Callithrix jacchus: one gene and its partners. The protein of the gene in region 3 purifies or fractionates together with the protein of the main gene of each other region. This does not show direct contact. Links are inferred from orthologs where the notes say so. Each region holds a gene or a part of one and is shown on either strand. Other genes may lie near its edges.

Region 1 (6,272 bases), on a different chromosome or scaffold from region 3:
AAGACACTCTAATGAATTCCTTTGGATTTTGTTATCTGAGTCTGGGTGCCATGAGAATGCAGCACAAGGTCAACAAAATGGCTTATTTTAAAGACCATGACATTTTTCTTGACGTTTTTTATTACCAAAGATACCATCTCCAATTTCTAGTGTTGGGTAATCCAACCGTCACTTAAACCAAGTAAGTTCAATAACCAGAAGGTAGGCAAAAATACCTTTGAGTAGGTAAATGTCATAGGTCAATTCACTAAATCTGATCTACTGTGTTCTACACGAAAGCTCTGTCATTCAGAAACCTATTTTTTTTTAATTTGGTAGACAATTCTACCAAGTTTAATAAACTGGCTTCCCATGTCACCAAGAATACAAGCAACAGTAAATGACATGGGAAAGATCACTAGAGGAAGGCACTCTACAAGAAGCCACAGCAGAAACCCAGAACAAAAATGTGTCTTCCACTGCAGTAGCTTCCCTCATCCTTGGTGTGCATGTGTTGTTATTTCCCTCTCCCTTCTTTATCGCTTTATCACTGACACTTTTTTATTTTACAGTTATTTTTAAATGAGTTTATGGTTTTGTTACACTTACATTCTTTATCATAAACTAACATATTCTTTCTGGTGAAACCACATGAGTTGTTTAAACAGTGATAGCTGGCCAGGCTCGGTGGCTCACCCCTGTAATCTCAGCACATTGGGAGGCCAAGGTAGGCAGATCACAAGGTCAGGAGTTTGAGACCAGCCTGGCCAATATCGTGAAACCCTGTCTCTACTAAAAATACAAAAATTAGCTGGGCATGGTGGCAGGCTCCTGTAATTCCAACTACTCAGGAGACTGAGGAAAGAGAATCGCTTCCACTCAAGAGGGAGAGGTTGCAGTGAGCTGAGATCGTGCCATTGCACTCCAGCCAGCCTGGGCAACAGAGCAAGACTCCATCTCAAAAAAATAAATAATTTTTTTCTACCTTCTGGGTTCAAGCGATTCTCCTGCCTCAGCCTCCCGAGTACCTGGGATTATAGGCACCCACTACCATGCCCAGCTATTTTTTTTTTTTTTTGTATTTTTAGTAGAGACGGTGTTTCGGTGTTTCACCACGTTGGCCAGGCTGGTTTTGAACTCCTGACCTCAAGTGATCCACCCGCCTCGGCCTCCCAAAGTGCTGGCATTACAGGTGTGAGCCACTGCACCCAGCCAGATAAATTATTTTAAAACATAAACACAATACTGGAAGAGTCTGGGAGGTGGTTACTTAACTGAGAAGGAACAACCTGTGGGATTTCAAGTGCCTTTGCGTCACTGTCCAGAGTGCACTAACTGATGGCCATGAAGAAGTGGTTAATCTGCACTTTTAGTACACAATTTAAAGTGCCAAGGTAGTATATATTCCAATTTTTTTTTAATTAAAAATAAAAATGATGCAGTGGCTAAAACAAACTTCAGATATCCAGGATGTTCCTGACATACAGCACCACAGTTCCCTATCCTGGGTGGACAAATGAAGAACTGGTAGGGCAATTTCTGATGAGGCATCAGAGCTGACAAATATATAGGTATCAACTCAGTGTTTATTATATGGGTTTTTTTATTGGTCCCGCGTTTTTTCACCATTCCAACTTTTATACAAAATTCAGAAATTCATACAATCTGGAAACTCGACAACCTTTCCTGCCATACAAAAGGCAGTTTGGCACTCACATTTGCCTAGTCTAGGGAATAAAAGGCACATAGACGTTTCCGAATTTCCCAACATTTGATTCATATTGATGCTTGGTATTACGCCCAGTTTTAATCAACAATATTGTCTTACTAAAAAGTACCGCGTAGATCTTATAATGTGTGTGTTTTCTACGGTTTTCATTTAGCACTACAATTGTCCTTCTGTTTAGTCAACCTTGTAGCAATAAAATATGTCACATAAGCAACTGCTAAATTTAAAATTGCTCTTCTCATTTAGGCGAAAGGTGTTAATTTTCCTCAAAAGCTTTTCATTTGGTCGTATAGTATCATATAATGATTCAGACAAAGCCACTTGAGATCTCTAAAGCATAATTGCCCACCTTTTTAAAATTGCGATGACTACTCTTAAATGGGAAAAAAAATCCACCCATAAATGATTAGTTATGCAATTTTATCATACATAAAAAATGCTTATGCCCCATCCTATTTTTACGGCAATTTTTCAGTGTTTTATAGTTTTATTTGCATGTCTCAGTCCACACGAAATGTGCCTTATGGAGCTCATACACATTTTCTGGATTGGCTTTAATAGGTGTTAGAGCAGTTCCCTTACGTTAGAAGCAGCTCATCTTGGCGAAGCTTAGTTTTTTTAAAAATTAAAGGAAAAAAAAAACTGTGTGTGTCCAAGAGCCAGCAGCGCCCACTGGGAGAGGGAGGCGGAAGCCTGGAAAGCTTGGGGCCGGATTGAGGGACCATTCGGGTGGCCCTGGAGTGAAACCTTATACCGTCGGGGGCGGGGCAGCAGAGGGTGAGGGTGCAGATGTTGGAAATTTTCCTAAGCCAGCGTCTACGGTTCCTCAGTTTGGGGGGGGCGGGGGGGGACGACGCGGAGAGCTCCTTTCCTCGGGGTGACACCCCCACCTCGGCAGGCGGGGTTCAAACGAACAAGGGATGGGTTTTTTTCCTGCCATCCAAAAGACCGACATTGCCAAAGAAAGAAAGAAATGTCTTCCCTGTCACCCTCCACCCCGAAATTCAAATTACAAAAAGAAGCACCTTGAAATTCAAATTACAAAAAGAAGCCCCAGCAAAACCCCTTTAGCGCGAGTGTGGGATTGAAGGGCCCAGATTTCCCAGGCAGAGGCCGACGGGAAGAGGGGGAGAGGGAGCCAGCGAGAGGAGAGGGAGAGGCGGAGGCTTTTTCCTGCACGGCCCCATCCCCCACCCCGTTACCCGAGTTCCGGGAAGGTGGAGGGGGTCGGGGGGCTGTCGAGGGGCTCCCGAGCCCCCAGGCCCCCGGAGAGCGGGCACCCCTCCACCCCGCGCCGCTCCCGCCCGCGCCCAGCCCCGCCCCCGTTCTCCAGGCGGCTAGAAGGAAAGGGGGAGGGGAGCGAACGCCAGGCGGTTCCGCCACCGACCCCCTCACCCGCCGCCCCCAGCCCCGCAGAGCTTCGCGGGTACCTGTCGGCGCCGAAAGGTCAGGATTTGGGCCCCTCAGAGGGGCCAGGCACAGGATTTCTCCACCACACACACACACACACACACACACACCCCCTTCCTATTTACCTCCTTCTTCTTCTCGCCCTTCTCCGTGGCCGCGGTGGCTTCGGTGGCCGCGGCGGCCGCTCCCTCCTCCTGAGAGGTGGACGGCCCGGGCTGCTCGTCCTCTATGACCACGATAGTGGCGGTCGCATCCGCGGCTGCCACGGTGGCTGCCACTGCGGCGGTGTCCTGCTCCATGCCGTGGGAGCGGGAACAAGGAGGGGGACGAGGCAGGGGACGAGGGCTCCTGGGCGGCGGCAGTGGCTGCACTGGAAAAAGCTAGATGGAGCAGGGGTGGGGAATCACTCCGCTTCCAACCCTTCGCTCAGGCCCCCCCTTCTTTAAATAACCCTCAACCCTGCCCCACTTCCGTCCACCCACCCTACGTCATGGCCTCCCCCCGTCACTCTCCCCCCTTCCTCCACCCCCCCCTCAACGATCGCGAGACTCCCCTTCCCCACCCAGAGCCCGGGCCGGCCCCGCACGACCAACTGTTGCCGTAGTGTGGGGCGCGGACAGGGGTGGAGGCGGGAACCCATAACTCGCGGCCCCCTAAAAAAATCTCCTTTCCCAGACGCCCCCAACAGTGAGCCTGAGCTCCCCTCGCAGATGCTTGCAAAACGAATCCTCTTTCCCTTAAATCTGCTCTTTGTACCTCGGGGCGCTTTCCCCTTTTGCACAAAGAACTTTTCCTCTGCTCATAACTGTACTGTAGAAGGTCTTTCTCACCATTTGCAAAGAGCGAAACCCCTCTGGGGACTGCCCTTTCCCAGGTTTCTAAAGAGGTCGGATTAGCGGTGCTGTTTCCACCTTCCTAAATTCTGCAGAAGGAGAAGTACTCCTTGAATCTCTGGATTGTAGCTGCAAACAATCACTTACAAGGCAAAGTCTGACTCTTAAGTTTTATGTATATTTGTTCTGTTTTCACCTCTGGTACCTCTCAGGGTGCCAATGTGCACGATCCCTTCTCTTGCCTTCACCACTAAATTTTTAAATTCCTAGGAGGCAAGGTCAAGATCCCCCACAGAACCTGGGGCAACATGTGGTAGGCACTCAATATTAGTAATTGAAATGAATTACTGTGATTTTTTGGCACAGGTTCTATTTGGTAGTAATACAATACTGATGCTATGAATGATCATGGATATAAAAGCATTTCATGATACGGAATCAATCAGTGTCTATCAGCAGATGAAGGGTTAAGGAAAATGTGGTTTGTATACACAATGGAGTACTATGTAGCCATAAAAAAAGAATGAAATGTTATTTGCATAAACATAAATGAAACTGAAGGACATTATGTTGCATGAAATAAGCCAGGCACAGAAAGACAGATACCACACGTTCTCACTCATATGTGGGAGCTAAAAAGTTGATCCCATGGAGGTAGAGAGTAAAATGATAGGTACGAGAAGTCTGGGGAGGATGTGTGGGGTTGCCGCAGATTGATGAAGAGAGGTTGGTTAATGAGTATAAATATGCATACAGTTAGATGGAAGTGGTAAATTCTAACGTTCAGAGCAGAGTAAGGTGACCTTAGTGAACAAACAATGCAATGTATATTTCAAAATAGCTAGAAGAGAGGACTTGAAATGTTCCCAACACATAGAAATAATAAATACTTGAGGCGATGTACGCTCTAAATACCCTGAATTGAGAAGGACCCTTAAGGACAGCAAGAGTGGAGGATTTCTTTTTCACTGAATTGCAGCTATCGGAAGATGGAATTCCTCTTTTGTTGCATGAGACTGCAAAGGAGAAGAGCTCAAGAAATGTTTATCGTGTATTGGTGTGTTCCTGCTTTCAAGTCAGCTTTCTTCCACTGTATTTCTCATTGCCAGTGTACGTTATTTCAGTTACATTGTGGGTTAAATGCACTTTTGTGAGGAAATCTGGGAAACTCACATCCCTTTATAACACCTTTTTTTGGTGGGGACATGTGTTCCAAGTTCCAAAAAAAGAATTTAGAAATTTATTTGGGGGCAGAACATATTTGTACATTGGCAATTTTCCGTGCATGTATAATGCAATCCTTCCTTTTTGAGGTGACGCGGCTGAAAGTGCTACCAAGTATATGAATTTGGCTGGAAAGGTCGATGCTTGGTCAACAGACCTTGCCACAGGATTCATGTAAATATTGCCCTTTGGCTTGTGGCAACAGCTGCTATTTACAGAGTATGTGCTATCCTTATTTGTAAATCTGCCTAAAATTCATGATCTGTAGACTTTGTTCAACAAGAGTCATCTCATTTCTGAGCCTACTCAACACCTTGCTCCATCTGCTACTACTGTCCCCAATTATGTCTTTTCATTTGAAATGATCTTGGATTGCTCTATTCCATTGAGATTGGAGAACAGAGCAAACTTTTATAAATAACTGGGAACCTCAGAACTAATCCCAGTCTACTGGCCAATATGTCCACTTTGGTAGATTATAGAAGTTGTTCAACAATCATTTTTGAATAGCCAATCTTGTTTAGTAGCTACTAGAACATAACGTGCCCATTGGTGATATTAAATGTTTTATAAACTTCATAAAGGCAAAGCTAAAGGCTTCGTGTTCCTTTTCTTATTTTGTATCTGAAATTTGTCATTGAAACCACAGTATGACTTAAAAGCACATCATGATCCCACTGATTAATGTTTTTCAGAAACTGGCAAAAAAGATTCTGGACACGCTGTCTTGCTTACATTCTGTTCATATCAGTAAGCTTTCTCACTATTTTTCTTAAAGACATTTATGATAGTGGCATTTTTGAAAATGTGATATTTCCATGGTGCTCTGTATTTTAAGGAAAACGTCATGGTAATAACTAGTATATGTCTACCATTTCTGGACCACCTATTATTGTATTAGGCATGGCGCTAGATTCTTTATATATGGTATTGCTAATCCTCCCAATAATCCTATGAAATAAATATTATTATCCCTATTTTACAGGTGAGAAAATGGAGATTTAGGCTAAATAACTTATCTAAGGTTCCACGGCTAGTAAGTGACAGTAGACAGATTCAACCCCCAGACTGTCTACTCCAAACCTCATCTTTCCACT
Region 2 (6,422 bases), on a different chromosome or scaffold from region 3:
CCTTGATTATTATAAGGGGATTTAGAAATACTGAAGGACACTTAAATTATACATTACTAATTCCTTCAGGTAGCTGTAGACAATACCGAAGCATGGAACTTTCGTGAAAGAAAAGATGAATTTGATTAACAAGGAAAACTTTCCTAAGAGTTACATTTTTTAAAAAAATAAAATACTTATTTGCACAAATCAGATAAAATACAATGTACAGGTAGGCCTACAATGAAAACAGGAAAATGAAGCATTACCAAGAATGATTCATAAGTGACATTAAGAAAAGAAACATAAAAAAGCATTTCTTCCCTTCTCTGAGAAGTGAAATAAAGAATGGATTTAGTCAAAGTAAGAGAAGCTAGAGTAATAGAACGACATTAACCTGGATGGTTTTAAAGATAAACTGGAGAACCGCCTGTTTGAAGGGCCTTTTCATAGGAAATGAAAGGGACATAAGGTCAGCCCTCAGATAAAAATGCAAAGAGGCAAGATAAATAATTTAGCCAGTATTTCATGTTCCAACTTTCTCAATGGAAACTACTGTTTTCCCCTTTCCACCCAAGTGGTGCTAACTCCAAAAGGGGTGCAGGGAGAAGTGAAATATAGGGAATTACATCCATTTACTTGAAAACAGCATATCCTCTCAATGGCACTAAAATACTGAGTTCATAAGAAAAATATACAGATGATATTGATTTTCATACGCTGATAATGCCAAGAACTACCACTGGAGACCTCAAATTAAACGCTTTCTGTGCATGAATTTTGGCAAGAATATTTGAGAAATAATAGCAAAATCTTAAATATTAAATGTCATAAATACAGCCATCAATGTTGTCAACAAAATGCACTTGTAAATATAAGCAAAGGCTGGTCCTGAGACTTATAAACAGGCCTTCCCTTTGGTGACATCGAAATCAACATAAAACATAGTAGGGCAACCTAACAGAATAGAAGTACCTCTGAAGACAGTATAAGAAGATGACTGTATTGTGGTCTCGCTACTGACTGCTTTAAAAAACTAGTGGATTAAAAAGTTGTGAGAGGGAATAGAAAATTAGGAACTGCTTCTCAGAGGCACAGAGCAACACAGAAAATGTGGTGTTAGCATTACATATTAGATTAGGTCTGCTACTGTTTAATTTTCTTAAAAACACTGAAATGCATTTTATTAATTACTGGATTAAATAACCTGAAGAAAAAATATGAATGAGGCCTGAAGACAAGTCCAGTTCACTAAAGAACTGGACAGCCAAAAGCTTGAAAAACTAAAATTAAACACAGACTATATCACTCACAGCTTGGGCAGACTGCTGGGCCTTGAATTTCTAGGTTCTTTAAAATCAGGATATTATTGCAACTCAGGGTTTAGTTTTGGTTGTTGACTCATAGAAGAAAGATACCAGATAAACCTCAAGCAACAGTGTGAAAGAAAGCCAGAGGTTAGGCAACATTTATATGAGATCAGATGAACCCCTGATATTCCTCCCAGGTCTTGAATATGATCCGTGAAAATTCAGAGTTCAGGGGTAGAGAGTAGATTGTGAGGATTAATGGAAATGAAAAATACTAGGTTTTTCACATTAGAAAAGGGAGGTCATAATTACATTAAATGTTGGCAAATGTGAAACAGGTGCTGAAACCCATTCTCAATTCAATAATTTGGGAGTTTATAAAATTCAATGTTGTCAATTCCAGGAGGCAGGAATAACTGTGTCTCAGTGTGGTAAGATATGACAACGTAGGTAAAAGTTCATTATTTTATACTGGTGATACAAGCACAAAACTGGTACCATCAAAATGTATACTTATATACAAATTGTCAAATAGCTCTTCGGGGACTTTTCTTCCGAATCTGAAAAGGAGGCAGCAGAGTTGCTCTTTCCCTTGTAGACAAGTATACAAGTTATGTTCATCTGGGATGTCCAAAGTAATCAGGGGGAAAAAATCATCAGATATGACTTTGAAATCATTATAACAACAAATCTTTGTTATTTTGAAACTTCAAATAATACTAAAAAAAGGTTTCAGATGGTTGTTTTTTTGAGGTAAGGTGAGCTCCTGCAATCACTAACATTAGCTTCTTCATCCCATAATGTGAATAAGTATCGAAAAAAAGGAAACAAAGGGAGTCCCACCAAAGGGCCAGTGAGAGAAATTCTGAAATCCAGGTCTGTTCCAGGATGAGAGCCTTGTCCAAGATTCTGCGTTCTCTTCTTCCATCACTCCTTTCAAGAACTCAAAATGCCAGTCAGTGCAGGTAAAGGAAGATGAGCATCCACTGGTTGCCAATTTCTGAAATTTTCTTGTTGTTACTTCTAGGATACAAGCAAGTGATGCCTTCTCATTTTCGTCCAGGTTTCCTCCAGTCTCCGAACACAGCGGCTCCGAATCCTCTTGTCACTCCCTTCTCCGGGGACCTACCTAGGCAGCACTCCCAGCCCCTGCCAGCTCTGGAAGCTGCAGAGATCCCCAGTCTGGGATGGGGATGGAATCCTCTCACTGCAGTGCAATTCACCGGAACCACGACCACCGAACAGATCGGCTGACAACACACATTCCGAAAGACGAGCAACAGAAATTTGGACAAGCCTTGTCCAATCAACAGGCTTTATTTGGGATTCAGTTTTTTTAATGTATTCTATTAGGAGGAAATATAATCAGCCACCAGTTAGCCCTCAGAAAGAGGGGACAGAGATGTTTCTCCGCTTCTGCACGCTATAAAGTGAATCTACAAGTAGTAGTTGTGGAGGGAAAATGGGCCTGCATGAAGAAGGCTCCCACCATGAAGGCACGGCCAGGCCGGGGTGCACGCAAAGAATACACACAATACCAGGTGATTTACACCATCTGCCCCCGGGACCACCATTTTTGTGGTTCCCCACGGCAAACCAGTGGGTTTCTCCCGGCAGTTTTGAGGCAACAGCTACTTCAACAAAGCTCTGTGAAGAGGAAAAGAAGAAAGCTCCTCGTACCCTCTCCTGCCAGCCGCGGCCCCAGCCCTCCCGTGGCCGCGGCCCCGGGCCCTTTCCCCCTGACAGCCCCCGGGACCCTCGCATCGCGAGTTCCGAGCCGTACAGTTCGACCTGGACCCGGCTTCCTGCGTCCCCGGCGGCCTCACGGCGCCCCCGAAGGCGGAGACGGCCCAGGCAGGGGGAGGGGCGCACCGGGTCCGCAGGCCCCCAGGGCGGCCGCACGCCCCCTCCCGGCCCCGCAGCTTTCCCGCCTTCCCCGTTTGAACAGCTCCCGCCCGCCCTCCTCCTTCTGCCCGCTCCAGCCGCTTCCTGGGGGCGGCTGCGGCCGCTACTTCAGTCCCCGGCTCGGCCCCTGGGCTAGGCCGCGACGGGCCTGGGGCGCCTCAGAGGCGGTGTCGCGGGCCCAGGACGGCGGGTGGCGGGGGGGCGGGGCTGCTGCCGCCTCTGGGTGGGGGCCCAGCCCGGCCTCTTGGGGGCTCCGCTCGCCGCTACCTTCACTCGGCTCGCCCGGATCCCGCCTCAGCGCCGCCGACTGCCGCCATCTTGGAGAAGGAGAGAAAAGCGCGAGCGGCCAGGGAGCCTCAGTCGAGCCCAGAGCGCAGACTCAGGCTCCGGAGGGGGAATCCCGTTCGACAAAGAGCGTCGAGCACATCGAATAAAACTCGGAGCTTGCTGAGCACCGGAGCTGGCGTTGGTTGAAAATTTGCTATGTGCCAGCCTTGCCCTGGAAGCTTACAAATATTTCGCTTAATCCTCACTGTATTCTTGTCGCATTTTGCAGAAGAGAACCAGGCCGAGAGAAGTGACGTGCCCAAGGATGCGCAGGTAGTTGGAATAGGAGACGGAGTATTACTTCCAGTCTTCTGATTCTGAATGCGGTGCTTTCCCCAAAATACTATGCTGTTCTTTCAAGATATTTATATACAGCACTTCTCCTCTTTGCAAAACCTAGATCCATGCAGATCAATAGCAGTGTGCTTATTTGAACTTCAGCATCTACATTTGGCTATTTGGCAGATTAGGAGTGAGGTGGTAGAACTTTGTGACAATGTACAGTAAAACAATTTGCATGGCGAATCATCTACATTTCTTAGTTTGAAACAGTCTTCAGAGAGAGAGGAAGAGATGTCATTTACAGGCGAGAACACAATTTTTCCGATTTGCCATGGAGAACTCGGACCAATGGGTGGAAATTACAGTGTGCAGAACTTGATTTAATATAAAGAACGCCAGGGGCGGTGGCTCACACCTGTAATCCCAGCACTTTGGGAGGCTGAGGCGGGCGGATCACCTGACGTCAGGAATTCCAGACTAGCCTGGCCAACGTGGCGAAATCCCGTCTCCACTAAAAATACAAACATTAGTCAGGCGTGGTGGCGGACGCCTGTAGTCCCAGCTACTCTGGAGGCTGAGGCAGGAGAAGCGCTTGAACCCAGGAGGTAGTGGTTGCAGTGAGCCGAGATCAAGCCACTGCACTCCAGCCTGGGCGACAGCGAGACTCCGTCTGAAATATATATATGTATGTATATATGTATGTATGTATATATATATATATATATGAAGAACTTATTTTTCTAGTACAGTTCAATAGTATAATGGCCTTCCTTGTGAGTAGTGGGCTCCCTTTCACTGGAGGAGCTCAACAGAAGCTGGTGTTACTGTTAAGCAGAGAGGTTAGAGATGTAGATTGGCTTCTAGAGTTGTGAACCCCATGCAACATAAAATCGTGCGTTTGTGCAATGTGCAATGTGTATTTTCCTGGGGCCGAGGCCCCAACAAAAATTAAGAACCCCTGTCCTAGCAGATTTATCATTGCAGAATTAGGTGAGTGCTTGAAAATGATGTGGTCATGAGACCACACTTGGCCGAATTACTCTGCCTCCCAAAGTGCTGGGATTACAGGCCTTGGCCACCACACTTGGCCGAATTACTCTGCCTCCCAAAGTGCTGGGATTACAGGCCTTGGCCACCACACTTGGCCGAATTATTCCATTTACAATGTGCCACAACCCCCTGATTTGAATATTTTGCAAATGTGAATGTTCTCATTTGGTTTTCGATTCAGTTCAGTGAATGTCTGTTACTAAGTATTGTTATTATAGTGTTAATTATTGTTATTACTTAACTGTAATTGAGTTCTTACCATAAGCCAGACTTTGGGTTAAACACATAACATGCAGATTTAGTTAATTCTCATGACGAGTCTGTAAGATGGGCACTTACAGACTTCTTATGAGAATTAACTAAATGTTACAGATGAGAAAACTGAGGCAGACCGAGGTTAAGTAGATGACTCAACCCCACATGAACAGCAAGTTCTGGAGTTAGGAGTCAGACTTCGCAGCCGACGCTCCTAATCACAAGTAGTGTTGCTCTTCAGGACGGACTTCGCATGCAAGTCCAGTGACTGTCTACAAGGCACTGGTGATTAAACAATGAGGCCTTAAACAGGTGAATGGTTAAGCAGACTGTGGCACGTCCACATCGTGGAATCCAATTCAGCAGCAGCAAGGAATGAGCACTATTGACCCACACAGTAACCTGAATGACTCTCCAGAGAATTATGCTGACTGCAAACAGGCAATCCCCAAGAGTTACACACTCTATGAGTCATTTATTTATTTTGAGACAGTCTTGCTTTGTCCCCCTGGCTGGAGTGCATTGGTGTGATCTCATCTTACTGCAACCTCCGCCTCATGAATTCAAGCGATTCTCCTGCCTCAGCCTCCCAAGTAGCTGGGACTTCAGGCATGCACCACCATGCTCAGCTAATTTTTATATTTTTGGTAGAGATGGGGTTTCACCATGTTGGCCAGGCTGGTCTTGAACTTATGACCTCAGATGATCGACCCACCCTGGACTCCCAAAGTGCTGGGATTACAGGTGTGAGCCACCTTGCCTGGCAAAGTATGAGAAGGGGGAAAGAGTAGAACAAGGAGTTTGACCTGCTCTGTGAATCTCCAATCAAGATAATGCACCACCTTTGGACCAGCCGATACCATTTATATAACATTCTTAAATGGATCTGATTACAGACTAGATTAGCAATTGCCAAGGCTTAAGTAGGGATTGGCGAGGGAGAGAAGTGGGTGTGGCTATAAAAGGGCAACAGGGATCCTCATACTGATGGAAATATTCACTATCTTGATTATATCAATGTCAGTGTCCTGGCTATGATACTGAAGAGGCCAAAGCTGCATTTGGTACAATAAAATACAATTAGCAGCCCATAACCCCAAAGGAGACAACTGGCCGGCTGTGTATTAAATCTTTGTGTGTTTGCATATATGACATTTAAATGCTTAATTTATATGCCGACATTTAGCATTTTTGTGAGATGTTACCGTTGATGGAAACTGAATGAAGGGTACATGGGATCTCTCTGGATTACTTTGTATAAATGCAAACAAAAATGTTAATTTAAAAAATAGAGTGAGGCCAGGTGTAGTGGCT
Region 3 (5,720 bases):
TACACAAATGTAAATTCTAGAAAACATACTGAAATTTTAAACCTTATTAAAAAGGCAAAGGAAAAAAGAACCTTAGATGCTAAATACTGGACACAGAAGAAAAGGACATGGCCTCTTACCTGCACTTCAATTTGCAGATCCTTGTCCAGGAGTGCTCTCTTCTTCAGGATCTCGGCTCTGAGCTGCTCTTTGTGCTTGAAGAGCAGAGCTGACAGCTTAGTGGCATTCTGCTTGCTACGTTTCTGCTCCACACTCTCTTCCCGCTTCCGTTTTTTTGCTGCCTGTTTTTCTTCTTTATCTATCTTATCCAAAATATACTTCATCACCTGGTTACAGACAATCATTCTAGAGAAAAATACACAACCTATGTAATGCTGGGTGTTTCATTTTGAAAGGCTTAAGACATGATTCTTCTATGCCTCTATAGATAAGACACAAACCTCCTGTGACAGGAAAACTTCGAGAGTGGTTCAAACCGGTTAGAAGGAACTATTAGTGCCAAGTGTTCTCATTTAATGAACTTAGATCAAGACAAACAAGTATAAACTCAGAACTCTGTGCATGTGCACGATAAAGAGAAGAGACGGACAGACAACAAGACCCTGCATCTCCCCTACCTTTGATTCTCTTCTCTTTCAGCTGGAGTCATGCTCTTTTTCTGTTTTAAATGTTCTATTACAGCATTATGCTTCATCACCACCTTCAGGACAGAATAGATCCAAAGCGCATATTTTATAATGACCACAGGTTAGTGCACAGATAACAACAGTAGAAATTTGAGCACATAAATGTGTTTTTTTAAAGAAACTAAGAATTTTATATCGTAACATAAATAAAACTAGCAGCTACTAGATGGCCTGGGTGCTTACTACCTGCTGGGTACTGTGCTAGGCTATGCACTTGACATTACCTCATTTACTCCTTGTAACGATACTGAACCACAGCAATCATTTTATAAACGAGATACAGAGATATAAGGAAATTAACCACCTTGTTTGAGAAACAATAAGTAATATAGCTGAAATTTTAACCTATCTTCCTCCAAAGGCCATATTTTTAACATTATACTTTCTTTTCAGGAATTAATTTTAAAGAGCTGTCCCTTGTCTTCCCTATACAAAGATTAGGGGATAGACAGTGTAGTAATTCTCAATTTACAGATACACAGTAGCGCTAGGTAATAGTACATTTAAATATAATACATATGATCATCACTTTCATAAGAGTATTACCTTACATTTGCTGTTTAAAAAGTGCTTCTATATATATTACCTCATTTAATCATTGCAATAATCTTGTGTGGCTGGAAAGAGAAGGATTTTAAGAGGCTATAGCTAAGGAGGAATAAGTGAGTTTCACAGACTGCGAATGGGAGACCTAGGAACTGAATGAAGGTCTCACGACTTGGTAACACTTGAACTCCACACTCAAACTCCTGCCTAGTGCTAAGCGAAGCAAGCTACAGATAGATGAAAAGATGGTTTCTGCCAGGAACGCTATCAAATGTTGTATGTATGACTTCATTTTAGTAGACTAATTCTAACCCATCTAAATTGCTTTATTTCACTAATATGCCATTCATTGCAAGATGTTGCTGAATGATGCCACTTTTTATTTAAGCTACTTTTTTTTTACAAAGGTGTGACCAGAAATGCAAATGAGTTTAATCTGTCCATAATTTGCACAGTCTTCATGCAAACTAAGGAATGACAACTTCGAGTAACTCCAAAGGAATTGCTATAATGTCTGAAGTGGCTTTAAAACTTAGTTAAACCCTCAAGTTTTATGTTAATGATTAAAGCTCCTAACTCCATCTTCCCATCCTAGTCCTCCCAAAATACAGGTCATTCCTCATAAGCACTGACTATTATACATATCCAATGAAGAGTTCCACACCACAGTAGTCATTCAATATTTTGTTTGGTCAATTCAGTGTTTCTTCTGAATTTAAACATTAATGACTTTGTCTCATTTAGGAAACCTAACACAACCAAACACTAAGTCTACTGCACAGCACAATAATTCAAGCTACGGAACATGCTGCTTTTACTTAATAACTTTACCTGTTTCTGAATGATTTCACTTTGATTAGAAGCTTGGAGGGTGTGTTCACGCTTAATTTCTATCTGTTGCTGTTTCTTCTTTTGCTGCTGATCCCTGAGTTGCTGAACCCTTTGCAACTGCTCTTGCACACTGGCTGCCTGCACTGTAACCACATTCTGAATCTGGTGAGTCTGCACAGCACTGCTTTGCTGAATTTGGATAGGTAACTGGAGTTTGATTTGCTGGGGCACACCACTTTGCTGAGCCTGTATCTGAGCCACAACCTGTGACTGGATCTGAGAGAGAACCTGGACTTGTTGTTGCAGCTGAGGCACAGCAATGACTTGGGGCTGTGGCTGCTGTGTTTGTAGCTGAGGACGGGATGGGGATGAAACAGTAACTTGATTTAAAGTTTGTCCTGATGAAAGAGTTTGAGTTGAAGACTGTACCTGGGGTTGTGATTGTGGCTGGCCTTGGGAAGGTATCTGAAGAGATGTATGTGGTTGAATTGGAATCGGTTGTGAGGTTGTAGTCTGAACCTGGGATTGTTGTCCAGGAGACACTTGGGATGGAGTTGATGGACGTATTCGAGTCTGTGATGGACTTTGGACACGAACAGGAGACTGTCCTTGGACATTACTTTGAGGCTGAGACTGTGCTGCAACTTGGGGTTTGGATGACTGTGCTTGGGTGGGTTGTGCTTCAGAAGGGACATGGGATGCAACAGTTGTTTGGGTCTGAACTTCAGGCTGAGTCTGAACTTCAGGCTGAGCTGGGGACTGGGGCTGGGTTTGGGGCTGGGTTTGGGGCTGGGGCTGAGCTGAAGGCTGAGCAGTCTGTGGCTGGGCTTCTGCCGGACCCACACTTGATGACTGAGCTGGTGGCAGGGTTTTGTCTTGATGTACCTGCGTCTGGGGTGACAATTTACTTTGTCTTTGTTCACCTGTACCTGTGAAAAGGAAAGATGAACCATTTCTATTATTCTAGAACATAAGACTGTGGTTAAAGAAGAATCTGAAGAAGATTTTCTAAAGTTGAATATTTTGGCCAGGCGCAGTGGCTCATGCCTGTGCACTTTGGGAGGTTGAGGTGGGAGGACCACTTGAACAACATAGTGAGACCCCGTCTCTACACAAAAACAAAAAAATAGAAAAAATAATCTGGGCATAGTGGAGCATGCCTATAGTCCCAGCTACCTGGGAGGCTGAGGTGGGAGGATTGCTTGAGTCCAGGAGGTCAAGGCTGCAGTGAGCAGTAATGGTGCTACTTCACTTCAGCCTGGCTGACAGAGCAAGACCCTGTCTCAAAACAAATAAAGTAAATAGAGTTGAGAATTTTGGTATTTTGACACAGAAGGTCTCTGCCTTTAAAATACTCCATCTGGACATGCTCAGGGCAGGACTCTCCTAAACTGGGGAGCCTGGGCCTGTTTCTTGGCTGTCTCCTGTAGACCCTCCTAACTCTCCCGAGGGCTGGCTTCTGAAGTGCAGCCTCTGGAAATTAGCTGAATCACCTGGCCCAAGCTAACTATCAAGCCTCACTTTTCTCCCATGATGCGGTGGCAGTTAGTTATAACGACTTGTAGCAGAAGGCCAAAAAAGTGGTTTTGGACCTGCTCTCAATTTCAGGTCATGAACTGGATTTAGCCACCCTCCCTGAGATCACCTCCATGACTCAATCAGCATCTACAAGGCCTGGCAATGAGTAAGTGTGGGCCCAGTTACCAAGATAACCATTATTTTTGCCCCCTTTCTTTTTTTTTTTCCTTTCTCTCTTTTTTAATGGGAGGGAGAGGGTGGTGGTAACAGGGAGTCTGTAAGAATAGGTTATAAGCTTCGAGACGCTGTAGGCTGACTATGTCAACTGTTGAGCTCACTGGCTTGAGCCACATCCTTCCAAGGGTAAATACTGGTTCTCCTGTTGGCCTCTGTTACCCAGCAACGTGTAGTAGTAACATCCGACATTTCTGACAAACCCACAGCTCTACCTGCTGCTGTCGTGGAAACAGTGGTGGTGGTGGTGCTGGCTGTGGTGGCTGTAGTTGCCAATGGGGTAAAGAGGAATCGCTGAACAGTACCATTTGGCATTGCAGCTTGCATTAGCTGCTGGCCTGGGCCTGGGAGTACAGTCACCCCTTGAGGTATCAACTGCAACTGTCCAGTAGTTTGACCTTGTCCTTGAATTACTACTGTCAAACCTTGATTGCCACCCTGTGGAAAAAACACAACATGTATCATCTTGAATTGTAGCTAAAAAAGAAAAAAAAAAAAATGAAAGAAAAAAAAAATTAAAAACACAATATGTAAACAGTGTTCAAAGCATCAATCTGTATGTACAGCATTTTTATGTGTAACGATCCTTTAATATAATGAAAATGCGTATTTGAATGGCACCATCAGGAATTTAGGTAAGCTAAGGTAAGAATATTTACGTTGCTTAGTAGGAAAAACATCAACAATCTAGAGTTCCAGTTCAACTCTCCCAATGGTTATCTGTTCACAGCCAGTTATCTGTCCACAAACAACACTGTTTCTCCAGATTCAAGTTTCCCAATCCATAAAATATTGAATGACTAAGGTCCCCACAAAATTCTGATTTTAAATAATCTTATATTCATATTTTATAATTAAGAAAGAATCTTCATATATATTGCCTCATTTGAGTCTCACAATGAACTTGTGACTTTGTGGGATAGGCAGAGAAAATATTATTATTATTTTTTTGGGACGAAGTCTCGCTCTGCTGTCCAGGCTGGACTGCAGTGATGAGATGTTGGCTCACTGCAACCTCTGCCTCTGGGGTTCAAGCAATTCTGTGTCAGCCTCCCGAGTAGCTGGGACTACAGGCACCCACCACCCTGACCGGCTAATTTTTGTTTTTTTTAGTAGAGATGGGGTTTCACCATATTAGCCAGGCTGGTCTTGAACTCTTGACCTCATGATCCACCTGCCTTGGCCTCCCAAAGTGCTGGGATTACAGGTGTGAGCCACCACGCTGGCCTATTATTCTTATTCCCAACTAAGAAACTCGAGTTAGAAAGGTCAAGTACTGGCTGGGCGTGGTGGCTCACGCCTATAATCCCAGCACATTGGGAGGTGGAGGTGGATGGATCATGAGGTCAAGAGATCGAGACCATCCAGGTCAACGTGGTGAAACCCTGTTTCTAATAAAAATTGGCTGGGCATGGTGGCACACGCCTGTGGTCCCAGCTGCTCGGGAGGCTTGAGGCAGGAGAATTGTTTGAACCCAGGAGGCGGAGGTTGTCGTGAGCTGAGATCGCGCCATTGCACTCTAGCCTGGGTAACAAGAGCAAAACTCAGTCTCAAAAAAAAAAAAAAGAAAGGTCAAGTACTCTGCCCAACTTAAAGGTGAGATAAAATGAGGAACTCAGGTCTCCTGAATTTTGTCTTTCAATATGTACCAAATTACCTATGAGGTATGTGTGTGCTTAAGTGTAAAAACCTTAGGGTTTTAGAAAGGTAATGCAAATACCAAGTAAGGAGGATCATTAAGGTCTGAGCAGTTACCAAAATGGGGTCTAGAAATTTAAAACTCTGTAGGCACTGTCTCTTCTGTCCAGAACTTTAAACTAGAAACCTTGAATACCCAGGAGCATGGTGGAGAACCGGAAAGCAAAAGTAAAAACCTTCCCCTAAACTGCCAATGACCAAAACTGG

What was found.
Region 1: the proteins of BPTF (region 3) and SMARCA1 purify together in Homo sapiens (affinity purification with mass spectrometry; 4 studies listed by BioGRID and IntAct, with this or other methods). This does not show direct contact. The link is inferred for Callithrix jacchus from reciprocal best matches to the Homo sapiens genes BPTF and SMARCA1.
Region 2: the proteins of BPTF (region 3) and HMGXB4 fractionate together in Homo sapiens (co-fractionation; 3 studies listed by BioGRID, with this or other methods). This does not show direct contact. The link is inferred for Callithrix jacchus from reciprocal best matches to the Homo sapiens genes BPTF and HMGXB4.

The regions. Positions count from the first base shown.
Region 1 is NC_133524.1:125,188,717-125,194,988, forward strand, and holds the start of SMARCA1 (SWI/SNF-related matrix-associated actin-dependent regulator of chromatin subfamily A member 1), read right to left. Parts: upstream 3,539-6,272; 5' UTR 3,418-3,538; coding exon 3,244-3,417; intron 1-3,243.
Region 2 is NC_133502.1:206,128,090-206,134,511, reverse strand, and holds the start of HMGXB4 (HMG domain-containing protein 4), read right to left. Parts: upstream 3,539-6,422; 5' UTR 3,462-3,538; intron 1-3,461. UniProt on the Homo sapiens protein: Negatively regulates Wnt/beta-catenin signaling during development.
Region 3 is NC_133506.1:90,321,415-90,327,134, forward strand, and holds part of BPTF (nucleosome-remodeling factor subunit BPTF), read right to left. Parts: intron 4,254-5,720; coding exon 4,031-4,253; intron 2,993-4,030; coding exon 2,064-2,992; intron 701-2,063; coding exon 618-700; intron 346-617; coding exon 120-345; intron 1-119. UniProt on the Homo sapiens protein: Regulatory subunit of the ATP-dependent NURF-1 and NURF-5 ISWI chromatin remodeling complexes, which form ordered nucleosome arrays on chromatin and facilitate access to DNA during DNA-templated processes such as DNA replication, transcription, and repair.